Mus musculus: one gene and its partners. The protein of the gene in region 3 purifies or fractionates together with the protein of the main gene of each other region. This does not show direct contact. Links are inferred from orthologs where the notes say so. Each region holds a gene or a part of one and is shown on either strand. Other genes may lie near its edges.

Evidence for each region.
Region 1: the proteins of Capn1 (region 3) and Cast purify together in Homo sapiens (co-immunoprecipitation; 4 studies listed by BioGRID and IntAct, counting the BioPlex papers as one, with this or other methods). This does not show direct contact. The link is inferred for Mus musculus from reciprocal best matches to the Homo sapiens genes CAPN1 and CAST.
Region 2: the proteins of Capn1 (region 3) and Capns1 purify together in Homo sapiens (co-immunoprecipitation; 4 studies listed by BioGRID and IntAct, counting the BioPlex papers as one, with this or other methods). This does not show direct contact. The link is inferred for Mus musculus from reciprocal best matches to the Homo sapiens genes CAPN1 and CAPNS1.

What each region holds. Positions count from the first base shown.
Region 1 is NC_000079.6:74,736,759-74,744,821, reverse strand, and holds part of Cast (calpastatin), read left to right. Parts: intron 1-102; coding exon 103-192; intron 193-3,404; coding exon 3,405-3,473; intron 3,474-4,886; coding exon 4,887-4,985; intron 4,986-6,523; coding exon 6,524-6,604; intron 6,605-7,193; coding exon 7,194-7,232; intron 7,233-7,799; coding exon 7,800-7,886; intron 7,887-7,987; coding exon 7,988-8,063.
Region 2 is NC_000073.6:30,190,524-30,199,069, reverse strand, and holds the start of Capns1 (calpain small subunit 1), read left to right. Parts: upstream 1-3,916; 5' UTR 3,917-4,064; intron 4,065-4,968; 5' UTR 4,969-4,983; coding exon 4,984-5,192; intron 5,193-5,321; exon of another isoform or gene 5,322-5,823; intron 5,824-5,869; exon of another isoform or gene 5,870-5,982; coding exon of another isoform or gene 5,983-6,026; intron 6,027-6,169; coding exon 6,170-6,203; intron 6,204-6,477; coding exon 6,478-6,567; intron 6,568-6,692; coding exon 6,693-6,750; intron 6,751-6,843; coding exon 6,844-6,908; intron 6,909-8,342; coding exon 8,343-8,411; intron 8,412-8,512; coding exon 8,513-8,546. UniProt on the Homo sapiens protein: Regulatory subunit of the calcium-regulated non-lysosomal thiol-protease which catalyzes limited proteolysis of substrates involved in cytoskeletal remodeling and signal transduction. Essential for embryonic development.
Region 3 is NC_000085.6:6,006,335-6,014,397, reverse strand, and holds part of Capn1 (calpain-1 catalytic subunit), read left to right. Parts: coding exon 1-197; intron 198-332; coding exon 333-402; intron 403-690; coding exon 691-809; intron 810-1,713; exon of another isoform or gene 1,714-1,778; intron 1,779-2,967; coding exon 2,968-3,101; intron 3,102-3,214; coding exon 3,215-3,383; intron 3,384-5,227; coding exon 5,228-5,311; intron 5,312-5,636; coding exon 5,637-5,722; intron 5,723-6,823; coding exon 6,824-6,898; intron 6,899-6,985; coding exon 6,986-7,146; intron 7,147-8,063. UniProt on the Homo sapiens protein: Calcium-regulated non-lysosomal thiol-protease which catalyzes limited proteolysis of substrates involved in cytoskeletal remodeling and signal transduction. Proteolytically cleaves CTBP1 at 'Asn-375', 'Gly-387' and 'His-409'.

The DNA of each region.
Region 1 (8,063 bases), on a different chromosome or scaffold from region 3:
TCATGAGAACAAACTAGCAGGTGTTGGTGACATTTGGAAACTCATGATCTTGGCCACAGTCAAAGATACTTAGTCCTGTCACTCTTCTATCTCTGCTCTCAGACAAAATTTCAAGATGTTCCTTCAGCTGGTGGAGAGAGTGTGGCTGGAGGTGGGACTGTGGCCACTGCCTTGGACAAAGTGGTTGGTAAGGTGAGCATACATATACAGACATAACATGAACTTCTCTGCTTATGAGGCTCTGGTTCTAAGAAGCCCATATCGGACAACCCGACATTCAGAAACAATGGATACAGTTTGTGTGTATTTTTGTGAAAAAGCTCATGTTTTGGGAACTTAAAGTGAGAAAAATACTAAAATAATTTTGAAATGTGTATATCTAGTAAATACTTATTGGGCAACTGGCTTCGAAGGCCTGATATCAATGCCAAAGTAATTAAAATGTAAGTTGGTTCAGGCCTTGCCGTCCAGGTTCACAGGTATGAAATCAAAAACGTAAAACTTACATGAGTGCTTGAGTAGGCATTACGCTCAGCTTTGAATGCTCACAACAGCAACCTTGACATTAAGTCACAATCACAGCAATGGTGTGAGTTGCTAGCATGATTCTAGATGTGTTGCCCAGTCCCAGAAACCCCGCACTGGAGGAGCTTCAGATGCCAGTCTGGGAGTGTGCAGAAAGTCGCAGAAAAAGGTAAAAGTCCCTTGAAACATACTGATTTCTTGGATCTTGGGATTCCAGACACATTATTTTAACAAAATTCATAAAAACTTTTTACATAGAAATGCTCACATGTGAAGGAAGGGTTTTGTGATGGGTTACTTGTCTGTTATCTCAGGACCTAACCATCAGCCTGGAAACACCAAGTGTGTATTTATATGAACTACTTTGAAAAATAGATTTAACTAGATATGTTATAACACAAACTTTTAAAGTATATTCAAAATCTGAGGTTTGAGGTTAGCAATTAACTAGCCCATGTTATCAGTAAAAGCTAAATGATCCACATGACAAAAGGTTACCTGGAATTCTGTTATTCATTGGCTTGATTCTGGACTTTCCATAATTATTTTATTTTACTTTACTAGTGATTTATACCCATCTCATTAGGACTAATCAAACCTGACTTATTTTAGGATTTGGCAGGTTTGAAGCATTATAGTTGAGTGTACTATGTGCTGGCCAGATTAAGGAAAGTGTCCGTGTAGAGAAACATTTTATGAGAAAAGGTAAATTCCATCTGAGGCAGGGGATTCACAGGACTGTGAGAGAGACAGGGAGCGGGAGTGGAGCAGCAGCAGGAGCAGGAGTGAGAGCCGGAGCTGAGCGACCTCCCCTTTGATGTAGGGCAGCTGGGATTCCAGGCTTGCAAACACTTTGAGATGTTGAGCAGTTTCAGATGAGGTCTGATCACAGGCACATTCCAGTGTCAGAAAGCAGAGTCCAGAGGTTGCTGGCTGTAAGACTAGAAAGACAGGTTAAGGCTGCTGGGGAGAATGCTGTAGGAGCTTGTGGGTAGTGGCAGGAAGGTGAGGTGGCGTAGGGCTGTTTCGATGGTGCTGGTGAGCCATTATGTGGCTAACTTAGAGCTATAGTAGAAGAAAAGAGGAGAGCTATTCAAAGTTATAGCAGAGACAAAACATTCAGCTTTCAGAAGGTGTTGGCTGAGTAGGGCAGAGGTAAAGAAAATGTACAATGTGCTGGGGCTTCAGAATATGGCATGAGTAGGCTGATAACAGTGAAGCAAGACAAGATAGATGCCACAGTGCCAGGCTTTTGGAGGGGCTCATTCTGTGATCCAAGCACAGGGTCAGCACTGAGACCAAGTGCCTGCTTAGAAGTGGAGTGGCAGATTTACAGCACTGTGCTCGACCTCTGGTTACTTTGAAAGATCAACAGAAGCTTATAGGATATATATGAAGAATGGGCTATGCCTAATTAGGGCTAGACTGAATTTAAATGTTTGGCAGGCTTAAGAAAAGGCATGTAGCAAAGTAATTAATATATTGTGTGGTGCACTGAAAAAGGGAGGAAGTGGGAGAGAGAGGAGGGAATGGAGATAGAGGAGATAGAGAGAAAGGAAAAGATGAGACAGGAAGAGGGAGGGGGAAGAGTTGTGAGTGTGCACACAACTACACAAGGGGGCAGTTAACTCTCTAGGAAGGGGTTCTGGCTTGTACCTGGCACCGTGTTCTTAGCACCAAAGTCATAGCAGTTGTTAATTTGGTATTTAATTATATAGCAAGTGCTTACATCATACTAAGTATTAAACATTAACATAACCTTCACAACCCCTAGGTACCATCATTGTCCTCATATCACTATGAAAACAAGGGACAGGGGAAGTGATTTATAATTTATAATTCGGAAGCACCTGTGTATGTCACGGCTGGTATACAGATTCAGGCAGGCTGAGATCTGCTGCCTGAGTTGATATGTGCAAATGATCCATGGCCCAGGAAGGTCCTAAATGAAATAACCTAACCAATATAATTCCTGCCAAGAGTCCCTGACCCTAGAGGATTTGGCATAGAACACCATCATAAGTCGGGAATATACAGAGTACGTGCTACTGGAAGCAGAAGAAGAGAAGCACAGGGTGGCATGACAAGGGCAGAATCTGAATGCTGCTTTGCTGTGGCAAGTGTGGGAGATAAGAGGTGACACAGTGATGCTCCCCATGGTCATCGTCAGAGATTATGTGTGGACAGACGCAGGACGGTTGCAGGTTGGAAAGTTAGCAGCTGCAGGAACTGCCGTAATTTATAGCCAAAGGAGAAAATATATGAGAAGAATCAAGGAAAGAACAATGAGCTACCAAGGCAAGTGACACAGTTGTCCTGGTGAGCAGAAACAAAGACGCAGGGAACAGAAGCTACCTCAGAAACAACTTGTAGGCTTTCAAGGCCCGGGACAAGTATGGTGGCCAGGCAATCCTGGTGCAGATCAGGGTTTTATCCCTTCCTCTGTAACCCAGGGAGTCACCTCATCTCCACTACTTTCCTTCCTATTCTCCTCTCCATCTTTCCCTTCCTAGCCTCTTCTGCCTCCCTTCCCTCCCCTCTTCTCCCTTCTCTTCAACCTCCATCTTTTCCATATACCAAACAACATTTTAATTGCCTTCTTCATATCTTTCCTTGGACTTATTATGTACTTAAACCAATCTATCACTTTATTTTCCTCCATGAGCCGGATCTCTCTAAGCTTCTCTTTCCTGTCACTAAACAGGCTTAATGTATGTAGTAGTTTTGAAGCATTTGCCATTACCGTCCACAGTTGATCATGGGACTAGTACATGATCTAGGCTATTAATACATGAATAGTTCATCTTGAATGTGTGTGTCATAATGCTGTTTCATAAAGGTGTATGAAAAGTTTTAAAGTCCTTTTAAACTCCCTCTAGAAAAAAGAACAGAAACCATTCACACCAGCTTCACCTGTGCAGTCCACACCGAGCAAGCCATCTGACAAGGTATGGAGCCAAAAGGCACTTCATCATCAAACATTTATCTCCTGTTGCCTGTCTCAGCCTGATTTCTCGTTGTTTTAAAGGAAAAATGTAATGACTTAAAATTTAAAAAGTTATGACTGAGTTGACAGTGTGGCCATCACTCTGTATTCGTACCATTTTATGGTACGAGCCTCTATTTTGAAAATTCTAGTTTTATTATACCAAGTTCAGTTATAGCTTCTCTTCTGGAAATATGTGTTTGTTAGCAACGTGCAAGGTTTCTTGAGGCTTGGCAAGTCTCTTGGTTTTAGAGTGGGGACATCAAGGGTTGTCTAAGTATTCTGTATTACCTCTCTATTGGTAAAGAATATAAGGTACTTTAAAAAAAAATCTATCCCCTCTTCCACAAGAAACCACAATAATAATAAGAAGGGGAAGAGTAGCCAAAGCAAATGTGCCCTAGTTTCTGTTACACCTATCAGTAATCCGCTAAATCCTAAAACTATTGTAGGATTGTGGTAATTCTTTTTTTTTTATTATTACATATTTTCCTCAATTACATTTCCAATGCTATCCCAAAAGTCCCCCATACCCTCCCCAACCCACTTCCCTACCCACCCATTCCCATTTTTTTTGGCCCTGGCGTTCCCCTGTACTGGGGCATATACAGTGTGGTAATTCTTAAAGGAAACCGTCAGACATATTCAGTGACACTTTGACGTGTGGAGTAAGTGCCGTACAGGTCATAAGTCAGGAACATACAGAGTCTGTGCTATTGGAAACAGCAGAAAAGATGCCCAAGGTGAGAAGACAGTGGCTGTTTTCCATGTTAGGAGCCTGTTCCGAGTGAGCTATCCAAAACTACAGAATAAGGTGACAGCAACTTCTCATTAATATGTTAAGTATATGTTGGCAAACTAAACTGGCAATTCATATGTCTTTAGGGTTGACCTCACATAATATCTCTTCAGGGTTGTCTTTGAGCAAGTCAATGAACAACAACAATGTTCATTAAAGAATGGAAAAATACAAGAATTAAAAAAAAAAACAATAGCTTCTTTTTGAAGGAAGTACTGTCTACAGATTTTGCTAGAATGAAACTATGGGTGATACTAAAAAGCAACAAGTGCCACATGGCTAATCCTTGCATTTTTTTTGTCTTTTTCCTCTTGACTGTCAGTACAGTGGTTTGGTTGCTTTTGTGAACTACTACATTTGTTGCTGTAGTTAATAATGTGGAATTTTTTTAAATGGTGATCTTTACCTGAATGTGGCTTTTTATTTTTCCAATTGAGAATTTCTTCATATTAAAAATGAAATACAGTTTAACTATTTTTGAACTTGGAAAAGTTACAGTATTTGATACATTTTAGTAGTTACAAATCACGGGAAATATATCTACAAAATAACATATCTTATCTCTTCTATTTCTAGTCAGGCATGGATGCTGCCTTGGATGACCTGATAGACACCTTAGGTGGACATGAAGATACTAACAGAGATGATCCACCATATACTGGACCAGTAGTTTTGGTATGTGTTGGATGACAGTCAGCATTCATTGTTAATGGGGAGGAAAGCAAATAAACCTATGGTATCAAGCATAGGACTGCATGTCATGTTCTGTTGATTATGTAGACGCAGGATGATGTCAGAATTGATATTAGAAACAAAAACTCGGGGGTGAGGGTGGAAATGGTCTGCTTTGTGACACTACACAGTTGCTATGATTCAGAATATGTCTGACAATGCTAAACTGGAACAGCTGACTCGGTCAGAACATCTAGTTTTCTGTCCTTTAGATTTGACGCAGTGGACTTGAACTTATTTTGAGTTTTAGATCCTTATGATCCTAAGTTAATCTATTCTTCATTTCCAAGGAACAATGTAATTTTTTTTCTGGTGTTAAAGATGTTGTAGCATAGATGAAAACATTTTCAACAGTTGCCATTAAAGTTGTTTCTATAGTTTACAATAAATAGAAAAACAGAGACAAAGACAACTCAGTAGAAAATTAAGAGAAAGTTGCTTGCACAATGAGCAAATAGTGTAAGGGTCTACCAGGGAATTAGGAAAATAGCATAAAGCATGGCGTGGTGCCTTTGGCTCAACCAGACTGCCAAAACTTTAAGAATCTGACAGGTCAATTTAGGCATTAGGTTCTAAAGAGGTGTTCCGTTCAGTCACAAACCCCACCAGCGAGACTTTGGAAATCTTGCCCCTGTGTACAGCGAAGGATATGGCAGAACACTTGAGACCAATGTGATCAATAGAAAATAGGAATGTGATCAATAGAAAATAGGGAGCTTTCAGTGCTTTCTGAAAGGAAAATGGCTTACTTATGTATCTACATGGATCTATTACAAAGCCATGATTTTGAATAAAATAAACAAGAGCAACAAAATGATACTATTTATATAGCTTTTGAAAACATGCAAAGTTATAATATATTTTGCTTATACATTTCTACATTTGCAATATTTTTAAATATTAAAATATTCTCAGCCGGGTGGTGGTGGTGCACGCCTTTAATCTCAGCACTTGGGAGGCAGAGGCAGGAGGATTTCTGAGTTCGAGGCCAGCCTGGTCTACAAAGTGAGTTCCAGGACAGCCAGGACTACACAGAGAAACCCTGTCTTGAAAACAACAACAACAAAAAAAATATATATATATACACACATATATATATAGTCTCCTCTTCAGCTTGAATTCAGTGATAAAATTACATGTACCACAGTATTAAAAATAAACCACAGGATAAATGAAAATATTTTTTAAAGTTACAAAGCATTTACTTCTACAGTTTATGAAAAATAAAAAAATACTGAGAAAAGGTAATTCAATAGAAAATGATAGAGATGATAGACTTAAAGTGCAGATGCTATCTCTAAAGCTAATTAAATAATTGTTAGTATGCAAGTAGAACTTTAAGGATAGATTTTAGCTTCTAAATGATTTATTTTCATCTCAATAGATACAGAAAAATCAATACTGGAATAGTACTTTGGCTTCACTTAATAGTCTCATTAGATTAACTGTATAATATGTCTTTATGTATGATTTTCTTCCAGGACCCAATGTATTCTACCTACCTTGAGGCACTGGGTATAAAAGAAGGGACTATTCCTCCAGAGTATAGGAAACTTTTGGAAGTAAGTTATCTTTCATTTTTATTTTACCATTTCCTTCTTGGAAGACAATTCTGTAACAATATCAAAGTTTAGAATATGCAGTGGGGCACATACAGTTGTTATTATTGAGAAGTACCCTCTGTGTGTTATCCTTTAGAACTTCTCTGACAATGTACTACAGACTTGATAGTTTAACTAAGAGAAAGGTATTGTCTGGTTTTTATGGAAATCATAATTATGGTGTGGAAACAGCTGGCTCCTTTCAAGTGCTCAGAGGGGTAGCTCTCTAGCCTGTTGACAAGGCTGGTAGATGGGTATCTTCTCCCTGGATCCTTTCACATCTCCTTTCCTCTAGGTTTTCCTCTGGTACGAAATGTGTTCTCTTCATAAGGATATTAGTTCCATATAAGGATTCCCACTAATGACCTTGCTTTAATGAATTCCTTACATAGAGGCCCTATATTCATATAAATTACCATTCTAGGGTTCTTCATGACTTCAGCATGTGAGTGCGAGAATACACAATTTAGCTCATGAATGACTGAGAATACATTTTGTCAAATCAGAAGAATTAATCTTTCCTTCTTAATTTCTTCCATTTTTGTTTCAGAAAAATGAAGGGATCACACAACCTCTTCCAGACTCTCCTGTGAGTTTGTATACATGTCTTTTAAGATCTGTATCAACACTGTTCTTTGTTTGGGGACATAGAACTACCAGTACCAAACTGGGTTTGGTGGAACAGTCCTGTAATCCAGTTATGTAGAAAGCTGAGTTTAAGGCCAGTCTGGATAATTTATACCCTTTCTCAAATTAAAAAGTAAACCGGGGATATATCTCAGATATCTGGGTGGCAAACTACTTACTTGCCTAGTGTGCATGAGGCTCTGGATTCAATCTCTAATCTCTAAAACGCAAATGAAAAGAATCCTATGAAAGCATAGTAGAAGGCATGGGCCTATTTCTCTGTCCTTGGCCATATATAATATGGAGGTGGAGATAATAGGATAGAAGGATATAGTAAATACTAATAATTATTATTAGTATGAGCACATATAACCACATGTAACTCCTTTGGAAGAAGGAAAAGGAGGAAAAGAACCCACCCTTTCCAAACAGGACTTATCTCAGTAGCATTTCTCATTTGGTATCTAAGGAATGAAGAGAGTGGTTTTTTGCTGGACTCTCAGGTGTTACCCTGTGCTCTTTTCTCTAGAAACCTATGGGGACTGACCAGGCTATAGATGCCTTGTCATCTGATTTCACCTGTAGTTCTCCAACTGGAAAGCAAAGTGAGAAAGAGGTATTGATTTCAGTCCTATTCAGAAAAACTTTGCAAGAAAGCATCTTAACTGTAAAAAGAAAACTTTAGTTCTGTTTGTCATATTGTATTTTCTTTTTTAGAAGTCTACTGGGGAAATTTTCAAAGCTCAGTCTGCAGGAGTGACCAGAAGTTCTGTTCCCCCCAAGGAGAAGAAAA
Region 2 (8,546 bases), on a different chromosome or scaffold from region 3:
AAAACAGAACTCAGAATGATAGCCAATTCAACACAATAGAATTCTACCTCTTTCTTCCACAGCAGCCAAAGTTTAAGCACTTGCGATGATGCCAAGCCACCAAGTACTCAGCTTCTCCCTATGGCCCTGCTACTCCTAAGGCAGCAGTTTGGCTCCACAACACCTGTGTCTAGCCAGTAGGGGGAGTAAGAGGGCAGAGACTCTGGCAAGCTAAGAGAGACGAAGTCAGCCTTGCAGTCTAGTTTATTGTGCGTGAAGGATTGTGAGAGTCATTGGAAACCTTCCAGGAGAAAAGTGGATGAGGAGCAACAGGTGAGCAAGGGGTGGTGAAGACAGCAGCTCTTTCCGAGTTAATATTACATGCAAAAACCGCGCAGAATAAAAAATTTGCATTTGGAAGAGACCAGCCAGATGACTCAGTGGTGCCAGGCTGACAAATCGAGTTTAATCTCCAGATCTCAAAGGGAGGTGGGGGAGACCAGGCTGGCCTCCAGCTCATACACATATCTCTCTGTCTCCCAAGCGTTGGGATTAAAGAACCAGGTGGAGAGATCTCCTCGTGTAGAACACTCCTTTAAGCCCAGCAGCCGGGAGGGAGACAGAGGCCAGAGAATCTTTGAATTCCAATCCCGCCTGGTCTGTATAGCAAGTTCCCTGCCAGGCAAGGCTACACAATGAGACTTTGTTTCATAAAAAAAAAAAAAAAAAAGAAAGAAAGAAAACGAAGTGGTGTGTGATGGAGTTAATTAGAAATCTGAGAAGACCCCTCTCCCTCACTGCCAGGAAGCTCTAAAAGAGAGGTCTTGGAATGGAGTTCCGTGTCCCGACACAGCTTGCTGGTAGAGCCTCAAGCTCGCAGAGATCAGCCTGCCTCTGCCTCCTGGGACTAAAGGAGTGCGGCGCGATGCCTAGCCACCTTGTACTGACTTAGAGTAGCAGGGAGGTGAAAGGACAGGTCAGTAAAGACCTTGTGGCTTGAGTGAAAAACTTTTTTTTTTTAAGTGCTAGGCCTTCATGCACACTGCCTTGTGCTGTACCACGGAGCGGCCCTCCCTGGGGAGGGAGTTCTGACTCTTCCGGAATGAGGTGTACCAGGCACAGATGGGATCTGGCCTGAGCCAGGCTTCCTTTGTTTGCAGGTTATAGGGCCAGAGACTAGGCAGGAAGCGTTGGTGACAGCTAGAGGCAGGGAGGAATTAGAGGTGGGGTGAAGGTGAGGTGAAGGGGTGGGAGATGGGGGTGAGCAGGGAGGGAGGTAGCATTGAGAGTGCAGGAGGAGCCAGTTAGACTTGCTGACAGGGTGGAACAGTGGGGCATTATGGAGGCAGACAGTTGGGACCAGTGAAGTGTGATTGTAATGTAATGAGAGCATCAAGGTGGCTAAACAGGATTGCCATGAGTTCAACGCCAGCCTCAGGCACCCAGAAAGACCTTGCTTGTCTCAAAGGCAAGCAAGCAAGCAAACAAGCAAACAAGTAAACAGCAGCAAGTAGCTGGTGAGGAGGCACAGTGGTTAGAGCACTTGCTGCTCCAGCAGAGGATCCATGTTTGAATCTCAGAACACACAAGGCAGACACAGACATACAAGAAGCAAAAGCAAGACAGAGAAGCCATGAGTCCTGAGCCTTGTCCAGGTTGAAGATAGGGATTTGGGGGCTGGTGGCCTGGAGATGATATGTAAGACACGTGGGATCAGACACACTCCTGTAACCCCAAGAACTTTTAGGGTGGTTGCAGGAAGATCAGTTCAAAGCCATTCTCTGTTAAACAGTGAGATTGAGGCTAGCCTGAGCTATATGATACCACCTCACAAAATATACACACACAGGGGACAAAAATCACTGAAAAATACTTCAGGGAGGTACCAGATGGCAGGCACAAGTTGAATGGACAGAGGGACGATACCTAGAGCTCACAGATGCCGGCAACTGGGACTCAGGGAGACAGAATTAGAGGACAATATGACCACACTGGGTAGTGTGTATGGTGAAAAATGGGTTTTATTTTATTTTTGTTTGTACGTGTGTTTTGCTTGCATGCATGACTTTGTACATTTGTGCCAGCGCCTTCAGAGCCAGAAGAGGGAGCCTAGATCTGGACTTGAGACACTTGGGAGCTGCTTGATGTGGGTGCTCAGCACTGAACCCGGGTCCTCTGGAGGAACAGTCAAGACTCTTGACCCCTGAGCCATCCCCAAGCAAAACTCCCATGAACCTTCTTTTGTTTGTTTGAGACAGGGTCTCACCATGTAGCCCAGTCTGTCCTCTGGAACTCACTGTGTAGACCAGGCTGGCCTCAGAGTTCTCCCTGCCTCTGCCCCCTGAGTGCTGGGATCAAAGACAAGTGCCACCACGATAGGCTCCCTTAAGTATTTTTAAATCGTTGTTTTGAGATAAGACCCTGTGGTGTAGCTCGCCTGCCTGAGTCTTCTGAGGCCTGGGCATGTGTCATCATGTTTACTGTTGGTCTGAGGGCATGAAGCTGGCAGCCTCTTCAAGCCTTGGGTGGATGTGAGGACAAAGAGGTCTTCCCAAATGAGAGATGTCTGAGCTCTGGTCCAAAGTGGAGGACACAGACAGTCAAGTCCAAACACAGGAGTATTTGTAGGCAGAGGACAGGGCTTATGCCAGCGAGTTGAGCCTGAGGTCAGACTGCTCAGTGTGGCAGGGAGGGGTGTGGCAGAGAGGGAATCCACATTAGTCATCACCAAATGATTTATCCGCTAAGGCTTAGGCCTGGGTCGCCACCCTCTGTGCTCCCGCCTTTTAGAGTTTCCGGTTTCGACAGGTTAAATCTTGCTTCACACACACACACACACACACACACACACACACACACACACACACACACACAGGTTTGAGCAATGATTACCTGGCCTGGTCCCAGCAAGCCCTTAGGTGGCGTTAGTGCAATTACGGTCTTGTCTGCTGAGATCTTATTTGACTGATTATCATATTAAGTTATCGGAGATTCTTTGAACAGGTAAAGCAGACTGGTTGTTTAACCTCAGTTTACTTATACATAGAATGGGGACAATAACAGACCTATCCCACAGGCCTGCTTCGAGGACACACAACCTAGTGAGTGGAGAGTATTTAGGGACCGGCAGGTATTTGTCGATGTTGTTTAAGGATGAGCAAGAGTAAACGAGCTAAGGGAACCAGGTGAGCTCCCAGCTGAGGGAACAACATGGCGACATAGGGACTAACAGAAGAGCTGCCATTTACTATGTATTTATCACTTAATTCTGATAGGGGCTTACCCTAGTGTCCTCTAGGGTCTCATGTAGCCCAAGCCGGTCACAAACTTGTTATGTACTGAGAATGGCTGCCTGCCCTCACCTCCCAGTGCTGGTTTTACAGGTGTGTGTCATCACGCCTGGCTATGTTCCCGCCTTACACATGAGGAGGTCATTACTCAGAGACACCAGGTCACTGTTTTAGGGATGAGCAATAAAGACTCAAACCGAGGTTTATATAGTTCCTAGGGAGTGGCCAGACAGCCAGACTAGAAGCCCAACAGCGACCTGGGTGAGAGGCACAAACTGATGGTAAACTTAAGATGTAGATTCCTAGCATTCGGGAAACAGAAGCAGGAGGATTGTTTCAAGTTCGAGGTTAGCTAGGGCTTTAGGTCATCATTTAGAGGATGTTTAACAAACCTCTGTCTCAAAGTGCACAATGAATGAATGAATGAATGACAACTGAAGTCCTTTTTTGCAACTATATACTGCAACGGTGACCGGGTACCCTGTATCTAGTTCCTGGAGGCTCCAGTACCTGGGCGTTAGAATAATTTATTCGTACTCAAAGCTATTTAATCTGGACAGCGTTGAATTTCCAGCAGTGTGTGTATGGGGACGGATGAGCTAAGCAGAGACTTGCAACCATAACCCTCCCGCGCAGGCGCAGTCTGCAATGGAGGCTCTAGGACCGCGCAGACGACGGCTGGGTGGCGGCAGGGTCTAACCCGGAGTAGCTGCCTGAGTCACCGGCCCCGCCCTCCCGAACCGGACACAGCGGAGGCCCTGCAGCAGGCGAGCAAGACCGCGGACCGCCGGATCCGTAAGTGAGACGGGACACTCCAGTCCAGCACCCCTGCACCCTGTAGATCCGGAATCCGTAGTCCTCAGATCTGGCGAGACCCTAAAGTCTTGGCCCTTGGGGGGTCCTAGGACCGGTGTTCTCAGATTCGAACCATCGGGCCTGTCAGCCCCTCCAGAACACTCCTTACCATCCCGGATCTGACGACCAAAAAATATAAGCCCAAAGATCAGAGAGATACCCGGAAATTATTTTGGGCGTCTAGAACCACAATCCGAGATCGTGGTTCCCATTTGCGGTGGGAAGAACTCCGTTATCCAGGATCCTCCGGGCGCACAGCCATAATTTTTGGCCGGAGCCCACAGATCCCGTAGTGACAGTGTAGTCCCTCTGTCGAGAGTATCTGAATGTCTTAATCCACATTAGGAACTTCCTGGTCAGCCCTGGGTCATCCCTACCCTGAGCTTAATTTTGGAAGGCCTGGATCTGAGACACGTTCGGTTTTACACACCTTAGGGTTTCTACACGAGAATCCCCTGTTTTCCCGCTGCCTCAAGACAGGGTAAAGCAGGCAGGCGCTGTAGCCGAGGCTGGCCTTGAACTGGTCCTCCAGCCTCAGCCTCCCAATTTCTGGGATTACAGTAGAGCGCTACCACGCACGCCCAGCTGTACCCCTGTCCTCATGCCTATATATATGCAGTCAAGCCTGGGCCAGGGTACTTTCTAGACCCTAGGAGGTTTCACATCTCCTATCACCTGTCCAGACCCCTAGCTAGAGGCTCTGTCCCCATCTCGAGGCCTTAGTTTCCTCCCCAATCTAGTTGCCGGAAATGCTTGCTTTTTTTTTTTTTTTTTTTTTTTTTTTTGCGGGAAGGGCTGGGCTCCTGGCAAGGCCACTACCCGACCCACCCCTTTTACTTTACAGGACTCAGCTGCGATCATGTTCTTGGTGAATTCGTTCTTGAAGGGCGGCGGTGGCGGTGGGGGAGGCGGGGGTCTGGGCGGGGGCCTGGGGAATGTGCTCGGAGGCCTGATCAGCGGAGCTGCTGGCGGCGGCGGCGGTGGCGGTGGAGGCATGGGACTGGGAGGAGGTGGCGGAGGCGGTGGAACTGCCATGCGCATCCTGGGCGGAGTCATTAGCGCCATCAGGTAAGGCGGGGCCTGAAGGGGCGGGGCGGGCCAAATAATAAAGACTCACTTAGAGTCCGACCTGAGAATTCTTAATTAGTCTGGGCTGATCCATACCGGAAAACTGGCCCTAAGGGGATTCTAGCGAGGCTGGTGTCACTTTTTAGTACCAGGATTAGTAAACCTGCTTCTGTGGGTCAACAAATAGGATGCAGTTTCTTGGGGATAGGGGCTCTTCTGTGTTTGGGGAAGGTGCAATTCTATAGGATTGTATCCAGCCTTCACTGGGGGCGCAGCCAGTGGATCTAAGGCTGTCCATGGCTTAAGATTTGAGCGAGGTGGAGCTTGCTGTTTTAGGAGAGATCAGAGTCCCCAAAGAAGAAATGGTCCAGAGAAGGTTGTGTGGGGTCTGGAGCTGATTGGTTTAGTGGGTAAAAATCCTTTGCTGGGGTTAGAACAGGTGGCTGGCACCTATATCGTTGGTGATCCAAGCACTGATCCCTGGGAGGAGTAGGGGCTGATGGGGGGCGGGAGAGGTAGACGTTAGGCAGTTAGATAATCTGCAAAAGGAGCGATGGAGTAAGACTCTGGACAACTGAACCCGAGGAAGATGAGGCCTAGGAAAGCTGGTGCAGACAGACCCCCTTGTGAAGTGAGTTCTTCAAGGGGCGGGCCCTGCTAAGTTTGTTAAGGTTTTCAGGATTTTGATTGGGGCTAAGATGCTTCTGACATTGTGATTGGTGGGTGTTCCTGGGCAAGGAAAGGATTCTTCCGTGGGGTGGGCCCTTGGGAGGTGGGAGAGGTTGGCCCGATGGAGGGAAAGGAGGGGTCAGACCATTCTCTTGATTGGACCAGGTCAGGACGATGAGGTAGACGAGGGGAGGAGGGAACCCCTTAAGGAAGAGGAGGGCTGGAGTTTCAGGGGTTGGCTGACCGTTCTGCCGCCCGTTGGAGGCTCTGCCCCCATGCGCTAACTCAGCCCCCTTGTCTCCCCTCAGCGAGGCTGCTGCGCAGTACAACCCGGAGCCTCCGGTAAGCAGACCTAGAGACCCTTCCTCCTCAGGCCTGTTGCCCGCCTCATCTTCCCCATTCCTATGAATAAGGCTCCCCCTCCTTCCTTAGGAAACCCCCTGCCGTTAATAATGTCATTTTTTTGAGGGCCCCTAAGCTAAACCCTGGGTCTCAGCCACGCCTACTTGCTACACCTAATTCAGGTTCCCTGGCCCTCAGACTGCCCAGCCCTCTCTGACTTTTCCCTGGGACACTTGTTTCTCCATCTCTGTTCTGAGATCGCCTCTCTCTGCAGCCTCCACGTAGTCATTACTCCAATATTGAGGCCAACGAGAGTGAAGAAGTCCGTCAGTTCAGGAAACTTTTTGTCCAGCTGGCTGGAGACGTAAGTATCCTGCCTGACCGCTTGACTCTGTCACTTGACTGTGACAACCCGGAAGTTCCCATCCCGGTTTATGGTCTCCAGACCCTTTCCATCTCCCTTGAACTGTACTTACCTTCTGCCGTCAGGACATGGAGGTCAGCGCCACAGAACTCATGAATATCCTCAACAAGGTCGTGACCCGACGTGAGTGACCAGGGTCAGAGTGTGGTGAAGGTTTAGAGGCATATGGGCTGGGATGGTCTCTGACCTCTGACCTTCAACCTGTTCCCCCCTCAGACCCGGATCTGAAAACTGATGGTTTTGGCATTGACACTTGTCGGAGCATGGTGGCCGTCATGGATGTATCCTTTTGGGGCCAGCCTGGAGAATGCCTTGGGTGAAGAGGGTCTTCTGGGAATATGTTGAGGACGGCCAAGGTGAAAGCCTTCATACTTGGAGGACACAGACTTACCTACGTGACCATAAATAATATCAGCTGCTACAGCTGGAACTTTACCTAGATTAGTGGATCCAACCTTTACAGATACCTTGCTAGATAAAGACGATGTAATAGGAAAGGAAACAGGCTCAGAGAGACACAGTGGTTTTGTCTCTGGCCAAACCGCCCAGAATTTACCTGACATGAATATCTGATCTTGAAAGCTAGTCTTGGGGCTACTTGAGGCTTGGATAGCAGAAACAGTCGTTTAGAGAATACATTGCAGGATAGGAATTTGGACTTGGGAGTTTTGGTTTGAGAATCTAAGCTTCGTTTATTTCTCTATTTACTTTTAAGCAATATTGATTGACTGACTGATTGATCAATTGATTGATTGATTTTTGAAACAGGATTTCTCTGCCTTGCCTGGCCTGGAATTTACTCTATAGACCTGGCTGGCCTCGAACTCAGAGATCTGCGCACCTCTGCCTCCCAAGTTGGGATTAAAGGAGTGTGCCACCACCATCCGATTACTAGTTATTTTATTGTACAGTATTTTTGGATTCTTGAGATGGGTCTCAAGAAGCCTAGGCTGGCCTTGAAGTCAGTGTGTAGCCAAAGCCAAACTCCTGATCTTCCTCTCAAGTGCTAGAGTTATAAGCATGTGCTACCATGCCCGCTTGGCTTATTTTACTTTTACTCACGTGCATGTGTGTGTGTCTGCATGTGCGTGCACGTGTTCTCAGAGGCCCGAGGACGTTGGACCCCCTGGAGATGGAATTCCAGGTGGTTGTGGGCTGCATGTTTTGAATTGTAGGAACCAAACCCAAGTCCTTTGCAAGAAGATTAAGCACTCCTGACTATCTAGCCTTCTAAGCTTATTTTATTTTTTTTAAAGATGTATTATTTATGATGTATACAGTGTTCTGCCTGCATGTATGCCTGTAGGTCAGTAGAGGCCACCAGATCTCATTATAGATGGTTATGAGCCACCATGTGGTTGCTGGGAATTGAACTTGGGACCTCTGGAAGAGAGGGGGCTCTTAACCCCTGAGCCATCTCTCCAGCCCTTATTTTATTTTTTAAAGTACGAATTAGGGTTAATCCCAGTACTTAGGAGGCAGAGGCAGGTGAATCTCTGAGTTGGAGACCAGCCTGGTCTATAGAGCAAGTTCCAGGAAAGCCAGAGCTGCATAGAGAAACTTTGTCGTGAAAAGACCAAAAGAAAAAAGAAAAGAAAAGAAAAGAAAAGAAAAGAAAAGAAAAGGGAGAATGGAAGAAAGAAAAGTTAGCATTTTGGCATTCACACACACACACATTGCATTTTGTCACTTGGTTCTTAACAACCTCTTGTTAGAGCGACACCACAGGCAAGCTGGGCTTTGAGGAGTTCAAATACCTCTGGAACAACATTAAAAAGTGGCAGGTAAGTGGTAGCCGCTGAAACTCCCAGGATCTGATCCCCCAAGCCATGGGGACCCCATGCTCCATGATGCTTGGTCCGACTGTTGTCTTTTCTATCCTTAGGCTATATACAAACGCTTTGATACTGACCGATCAG
Region 3 (8,063 bases):
AGGAGCTGGGCTTGGGCCGCCATGAAAACGCCATCAAGTACCTGGGCCAGGATTATGAAACGCTTCGGGCAAGATGCCTGCAGAGTGGGGTCCTCTTCCAAGACGAGGCCTTCCCTCCGGTTTCTCATAGCCTGGGCTTCAAGGAACTGGGTCCTCATTCCTCTAAAACCTATGGCATCAAATGGAAGCGGCCTACGGTAAGAGGGCCACTCTGGGTGGAACTTGGTTCTGATGGTGGTGGGCAATGGGACTGGGCCCCCCCATTATTCGTGGTGTCTGGGTACCAGTTTCTAGGAGGGACTGGCCCAGGAACATGACCGTGGGTCTTGTAGGAACTGATGTCAAACCCCCAGTTCATCGTGGATGGAGCCACCCGGACAGACATCTGCCAGGGAGCACTGGGTAGGCCCCCAGGGGTGGGGTTCTGGGCGTTTGCCCCATTGTAGTTCTCCGTTCCCGTTCCATTGGGCACTGCCCCAACTCCTCCCTCCTGCAGGTCCAGACAGGTTTTGACTATCAGCATAGGTGCTGGTTCGCCCAGATTCCTGGGTCTTTTCTGTAAGCGGAGGGGAGATGAAGGGTACCCCACCCAGGGAATCCCTGGTGGCCCCCGGCATCCCACATACACAGCACCTCCCTCCCCTGGGCAGATCCGGAAAGCAAGCCTGATGAGGGTCTTTCCTATTCCAGGGGACTGTTGGCTCCTGGCTGCCATTGCCTCCCTCACCCTCAACGAGACTATTCTGCACCGAGTGGTTCCCTACGGCCAGAGCTTTCAGGATGGCTACGCTGGCATCTTTCATTTCCAGGTGAAGGTCCCTGCACCCTCCCTGGGCCAGAGGAATAGCTGACTTTAGGGAGATGGGAAAGGATGGCCCACAGCACTGTGAAGCTGAGATGGCCGGGGCCATGCCCTTCGAGGGCAGCCCTCCCTCTGGAAGGTATTTGGCCTCTCTGTGCCACCTCTGGTCAGTCATGTGTGAATGGTCAAGCAGGTATTTTCAGCTTGCAGCTCTCCTAGGTAAGGTTGTGCTTAGCAGAGAAAGTGTGGAAGAAGTGCTTTGGCTTTTTGCCCCAGCCTCAGTTTCCCCATCTTCACCTGTCAGTTCACCCTTTTCCCAGTTTCCCAGACTTGGCAAACCTGACAGAGTGTAGAGGAAAAGACAGACATGGCGTTTAAACACCATTCCCTGATGTTTCTGACAGGGCCCACGTTTCAAGTTACATTAGTGAATTCTCCAGGAGCTAGTGTTGAGAGTCACACCCCAAAAGTCTTGGTTGAGGCCTTTTCTACCATGATGATCCCAGTCATGCCTGAAGGGGGTCTCTGTGTTCCTTCCTTCTGCCTAATTTGGTCCCACTACCTCACTCTGCCCACGCCAGAAGAAATGGCAGCTATTATTCTATGCTGAGTGCCCCAACCAAGACAGCTCTGTCACCCTTTTCCCTACCCCCTTTCCTCAAATCTCCAATCTACTCCTCTTCCAGCTTCTATTTGGCACAGTCAGTGCCGCTTCCCAAATCCTTCAGTGATCCTCTTACCTCATCATTCTGGGCTTCTCCCTGCAACAATTTTTGGTGTTTTCCGAAGCTTCTGTCCCTAGGCAGCCTAGGCCTGCATCCCTGGAGCAAATCTGGTGCATTTGGAACCAGCCTGCCCATCTGTGGTTGAGGGTCTGGGCACAACATTGTCTTTCCACATCTCCCACTTACTTCTATACTCAGGCTTAAAATAAGGAAGCAAGGGGCTGTGAAGCTGAGATGGCCGGGGCTACGCCCTGTGCGGACAGCCCTCCCTCCGGAAGGTATTTGGCCCCTCTGTGCTAAGAGCACTAGAAGCTCTTTCAGGGTTCCTGAGTTCAATTTCAGCAACCTCGTGGTGCCTCACAACCAACTATAATGTGGTCTGATGCTCTCTTCTGTTGTACAGACTTAACAGAAAGACTCATATATAGCCGGGCGTGGTGGCTCATGCCTTTAATCCCAGCACTCGGGAGGCAGAGGCAGGCGGATTTCTGAGTTCGAGGTGGGCCTGGTCTACAGAGTGAGTTCCAGGACAGCCAGGGCTACACAGAGAAACCCTGTCTCAAAAACCAAAACAAACAAACAAACAAACAAACAAACAAAAAAGACTTATATACATAAATTAAAAAAAAATAGGAAGGCAAGTAAGAGGGGCAGGACCTAGGGTTGCTTTGAGGAGGAACATGGACTGGAGGCCTTCTTGCCCTTGCCCTCTCCCATATCTGAAGGCGAGCCTTGTTCTGACTTGTTCATCTAAAAATTCTAATTCCATTTATTTATAACGTGTGTGCGCGTGTGCGTGTGTTGATGGGGATTAACAGTGTGTCTGTGTAAAGGGCAGAGGATGACTTGTAGGGCCAGCTCTTCCCTTCCATCCTGTGGATCCGAGGACTGCACTCTAGTTCTGAGGCTTAGAGGCTAACAGCTAGACCCCCAGGCACCCCCAGAACCACTGACACGGTCCAGATCTGGTTTTGTGGTATTGTTTTGTTTTTCAGACATAGTCTTACTGGCTGTCCTGGAACTTCCTGTGTAGATCAGGTTTTCTTTGAACTCATAGAGATTACCTCCTGAGTGCTGAGACACCTTTAGGTGTCTATAGTTGTGGTGCCCTGGGCTGAGTGACTGTACACTCTAGAAGACAAGAGGCATGCCTGTAAGAATGTGTGTGTGCGCGATACGTGTGTGTGTGTGTGTGTGTGTGTGTGTGTGTGTGTGTTACACATGTACCCAGCATACAGATCGAGACTCGTGCATTTAGTAAGTCCAGCTGAAGCTGGAGAGGAGGCCTGGGACCCAGGGCAGGGGCTAACTTTGTCCCTTTCCCACAGCTGTGGCAGTTTGGGGACCAGGCCCAGGGCAAGGGCTGACTTTGTCCCTCCCACAGCTGTGGCAGTTTGGGGACCAGGCCCAGGGCAGGGGCTGACTTTGTCCCTCCCACAGCTGTGGCAGTTCGGGGAGTGGGTCGACGTGGTCATAGATGACTTGCTGCCCACCAAGGACGGGAAGCTGGTGTTCGTGCACTCTGCCCAGGGCAACGAATTCTGGAGCGCACTGCTGGAGAAAGCCTATGCTAAGTGAGTAGGATCCCCAGGGCACATCTTCGGTCTCTGGGGGTGGAGAGGTTGTCCTGGCCCTCTTACCCGGTCCTCCTTGATGATGCTACTAACCGACCTGGAGCTGCCCACAGAGTGAATGGCAGCTATGAGGCTCTTTCGGGAGGCTGCACCTCAGAGGCCTTCGAGGACTTTACCGGTGGGGTCACTGAGTGGTACGACCTGCAGAAGGCCCCCAGCGACCTCTACCAGATCATTCTAAAGGCCCTGGAACGAGGCTCCTTGCTGGGCTGCTCCATTAATGTGAGTGATGTCTAAGTTCCTCTGACAAACCCTAATCTCATCTTCAGCGCACCACTCGCCCCCTCCTCAGCTCATTTCCGGCTGGGGATGAGCCCCGCCCATCACCTCCTCGAATACTCCATGTTCCTCACTTCTTCCTTCAAATCTCAGCGGTGCCCCAGCTCCTCAGCTCCCTCCTGCTCCCTCCCTTCTCATTCTTGTCTGTTTGTCTGTTTGTTTGTTTTTATTTACTGTGCATTGGTGCTTTTCCTGTATGTATGTCTGTGTGAAGGTGTCAAGTCCCTGGAACTGGAATTACAGACAGCTGTGTGCTGCCGTGTGGGTGCTGGGTATTGAACCTGGGACCTCTGGGAGAGCAGCCAGTGCACTTAACATTGAGCCATTTCTTTAGGCAGCACATATACTACAATTGGAACAATATGGAGTAGATTAGCCAGGCCTTCATTCTTATGACCTTCCCGTGTTCCAAGGCTCTCCCAGTCCAGTGCTTCAGCCTTCTGATGCAATCTCTTTCCTATTCTTGACTTCACCCACGCCTGGCTCCTTCTCCTTTCCTTTCTCCTTGCTTACCGTTGTCTGGCCCACAATTCCCACAGTCACTTCTAGCCCTCCCTAGCCCCGTGCTTGGTCATTCCACACCAGCATCCTGGCTATCCTTGGCCACACAATGCTATGGAGCCCAACACAAAATCTCAGAATCTTACTTAAAACATGAGATCTTAAAATCTGTGAATTGACTGAGCCATCCCCAAGTGTGAACTCTGTGAATGGCAGTGCCTTGCTACAATGTCTCAGGGTTGGAGAGATGGCTTAGTGGTTAAGAGCTTGTACTGCTCTTAAAGAAAACCCAAGTTCGGTTCTCAGCTCCCGCCCACATCAGGTAACTCAGGACGTGCCTGGGATTCCCACCCCAGGAGGATCTGATGCCTCTGGCTGCTAAGGGTATCTGTACTCGCATGCACACAGCAATACAGAGAGAGTTAGAGTTAGAGTCGCATACAGAGAGAGTTAGAGCCAACTAGAAAAGAAGCTTTTAAAATAACTTCCTTATTTTTATTTTATGAGCATTTGATTGGCATTTCACCTGCACACATGTCTGTGTGTGGGTATTGAATCCTCTGAAACTGGAGTTACAGACAGTTGTGAGCTGCCATGTGGGTGCTGGGAATTGAACCTAGGTCCTCTGGAAGAACAGCCAATGTTCTTTTTTTTTTTTTTTTTTTAAGATTTATTTATTTATTATATGTAAGTACACTGTAGCTGTCTTCAGACACTCCAGAAGAGGGAGTCAGATCTTATTACGGATGGTTGTGAGCCACCATGTGGTTGCTGGGATTTGAACTCCGGACCTTCGGAAGAGCAGTCGGGTGCTCTTACCCACTGAGCCATCTCACCAGCCTGCAGCCAATGTTCTTAACGTAGCCATCTCTCCAGCCCCTAAACTAAACTTTTTTTAAAAGGGCTATTTGACCCCGCAAGTTTAGCCCCACTGGATCTGTCCTTCTCTTTCCCCTGTTTGTCCCCTGGCTGAGTCCCCCTTGGAGGGTTTGCTTGATTATAAGTGTGTGTATATATGCACACTCACAGTCTGGCCAGCCCTTGCCAGCAGCAGTATAGCGAGAGCATTGATTGGGGAGGTATCTAGGCTCTGCCCTGCTCCCCAGAAGGAACGGCATTTGTGTAACAATGGAGTGGTTAGGTGAGGAGTGTCTAAAAGTTTCTTCGATCAGCTTTTGTGGGGGTTGTGTGTGCAAGGGGACAAGGGGTACGGCCTGAGCCTCATATATGCTCCAAGCAGGGATGGCACCTCATCTTCTGACCACAGTGCACGTTTCTTTCCGTAGATCTCCGATATCCGTGATTTAGAGGCTATTACTTTTAAGAACCTGGTGAGGGGCCATGCGTACTCTGTGACGGGCGCCAAGCAGGTATTTACCGGGATGGGACCTGCCCTGCAGTGTGGTTCCTACTTCCAAGCCTCCCCGGCATCTGACCTGGGCTGTGGGAAGTGATGTCTCCTTTTCTGACCTCCTGGGATAACCATCGGGTGGTATGTGTTAATGCTATGCCTAGTGCCTCCAGTTCATTTGTACAGCTGCCTCACTGGGCTGTGAATTGCTGGAGGACTGGCTTAGGGGGTATGGACTGTGTTGCCCTGGTGTTGCTGGGTAGGAAGCAGGGTGAAGATGTGAAGACGGAGGTCCGGGAAGGGACGTCCAAGGTCATGACACTGATGCACACTTTTGGGAACAGGTAACTTACCAGGGCCAGCGGGTGAACCTAATCCGGATGCGGAACCCCTGGGGTGAAGTGGAGTGGAAAGGACCCTGGAGTGACAGGTAAGTCACAGGGAGGTTGGGGGAAGCCTGGAGATGTCCTGGACACTCCTGCCTGGGCCCCGGCAGGCTGGGTGTACACTCAGAGTTGAGGAAAGGGGTCACATCTTGGGAGTTTGCCCTGACAGAGCCCACCAAGGCTGTGGGCACTGGGGCAACCTGTGGAGACACCCAGGGCATCAAGGTCTGACTTGACCTTGATAAACATAACCCTGGCTGGATGTGGTGGTTTCTGCTTGTAATGTTCAGAAAGCTGAGGCAGGAGGACCAATACAAATTTGGGGTCAGCCTGGGCTGCACAGTGAGGTCCCGCTCAACCAAGGCTACCTAGTCTTAAAGGAGGTAGGAACGTGGTGGCGTATACCTTTAATCTCAGCGGAGATCGGCAGATCTCTGTGAGTTTGCCATCAGCATGATCTACGTACAGGGTTCCAAGCCAGCCAGGGCTATTATAGAGCAGGGCCCTGATGCCAAAAAAAGGCAAGCAAAAACAAGAAGTGTGGCGGTGCCTGGAGAAAAGTGGGCCAGCGGTGAAGAGCTTGTACTAGCCTACAGGAAAGGCCTGAAGTTGGGTCCCAGCGCCCACCGTAGGAGGCCACAGCTGCAGGGGGTCTAACACCCTCTCGTGGCCTCCACAAGCATGCGCACGCCCATACGCGCACACAATTTTAAAAGTAAAAATTGGCTAGGCCTTTAATCTAAGCTTTTTTTTTTTTTTTTTGTTTTTTCGAGACAGGGTTTCTCTGTATAGCCCTGGCTGTCCTGGAGCTCACTTTGTAGACCAGGCTGGCCTCAAACTCAGAAATCCGCCTGCCTCTGCCTCCCGAGTGCTGGAATTAAAGGCGTGCGCCACCACGCCCGGCTTAATCTAAGCTTTTAGGATGCGTAGACAGGTGTATCTCCATGAGTTCAAATCCAGCTAGTGAGACCCTGTCCCCAAAAAGAAGAGGGACCTTTAAATGGGGATCTCTAAGGACCTCAAGAGGTGGCCCTAGAGAAAGCCTGCTGATCTGGGCTCTGAAACACGCCAGGTTGGACAGGACCCAGGGACAGAAGTTAGATAGGTCCGTGGTGTCCAACCCTAGCAGTGCCTGCTTCCCACAGCTCCTATGAGTGGAACAAAGTGGACCCCTATGAACGAGAGCAGCTGAGGGTCAAGATGGAGGATGGGGAGTTCTGGTAAGCAACACTATTTTCCCCCCTTGCTCCCCTAAAACCCAGTTCATGATGGAGGACTGTGGTTCACCTCTGCCCTTGGGCCCTCAGGATGTCGTTCCGAGACTTCATCCGTGAATTCACCAAACTGGAAATCTGCAACCTTACACCGGACGCCCTTAAGAGCAGGACCCTCCGGAATTGGAATACCACATTTTACGAGGGCACCTGGCGTCGGGGAAGCACCGCTGGAGGCTGCAGGAACTACCCAGGTGAGTGGTTGGGAGACAGGGCAGGGGGGTGAGCAGGGCCACCTGGCTGAGCCTGTTGTGTTCCTTGGGAGACAAATAGTCATGATTGAATGCTGCTTATCTTTATGGATGGTAATAAAGGGGCTTGCTAGACTGTCTGGGGCCCGGGGAAGAAAGCCTTGTTGTTTATCCAAACACCTGCCCATTCATTCCAGCACCTTCTTACCCACTGACCCGCTGTCCGCCTACCTTCCCCTCTCACAAATGGTGACTGTCACTACTGTGGAATGGCCTCTCTATGCCCCCACCCCCAGCTCCCCTCAACTTTTTTCTGTACTCCAGCTCTACTCTGCCCCACTGAAAAGAATTCTGGGCCTGTCACACTCACTGCCCCTGCCCAGGCCTCAGCCCACGGAATTAACCGACCTGCTGACACCTCCCATTTTAATTACTCTCTCATTTGGCTCTCTGTCTGTCTGTCTGTCTGTCTGTCTCTCTGTCTCCCCCTCTGTTTCTCTCTTGTTATCATTTTTTGGTTTGTTTTGATTTTTTTTTAGATTTATTTATTTGTTTATTTATTTATTTATTTTATGTATGTGAGTACACTGTAGCTGTACAGATGGTTGTGAGCCTTCATGTATTGTTGGGAATTGAATTTCAGGACCTCTGCTCGCTCTGGTCAACCCCACTCGCTCCGGCCCAAAGATTTATTTATTATTATACATAAGTACACTGTAGCTGTCTTCTGACACACCAGAAGGGGACATCAGATCTCATTACAGATGGTTGTGAGCCACCATGTGGTTGCTAGGATTTGAACTAAGGACCTTTGGAAGAGCAGTTGGTGCTCTTAACCACTGAGCCATCTCTCCAGCCCCAGGTACCGAGTTCAAATCCTAGCAGCCACAACCATCTGTAACAAAATCTGATGCCCTGAT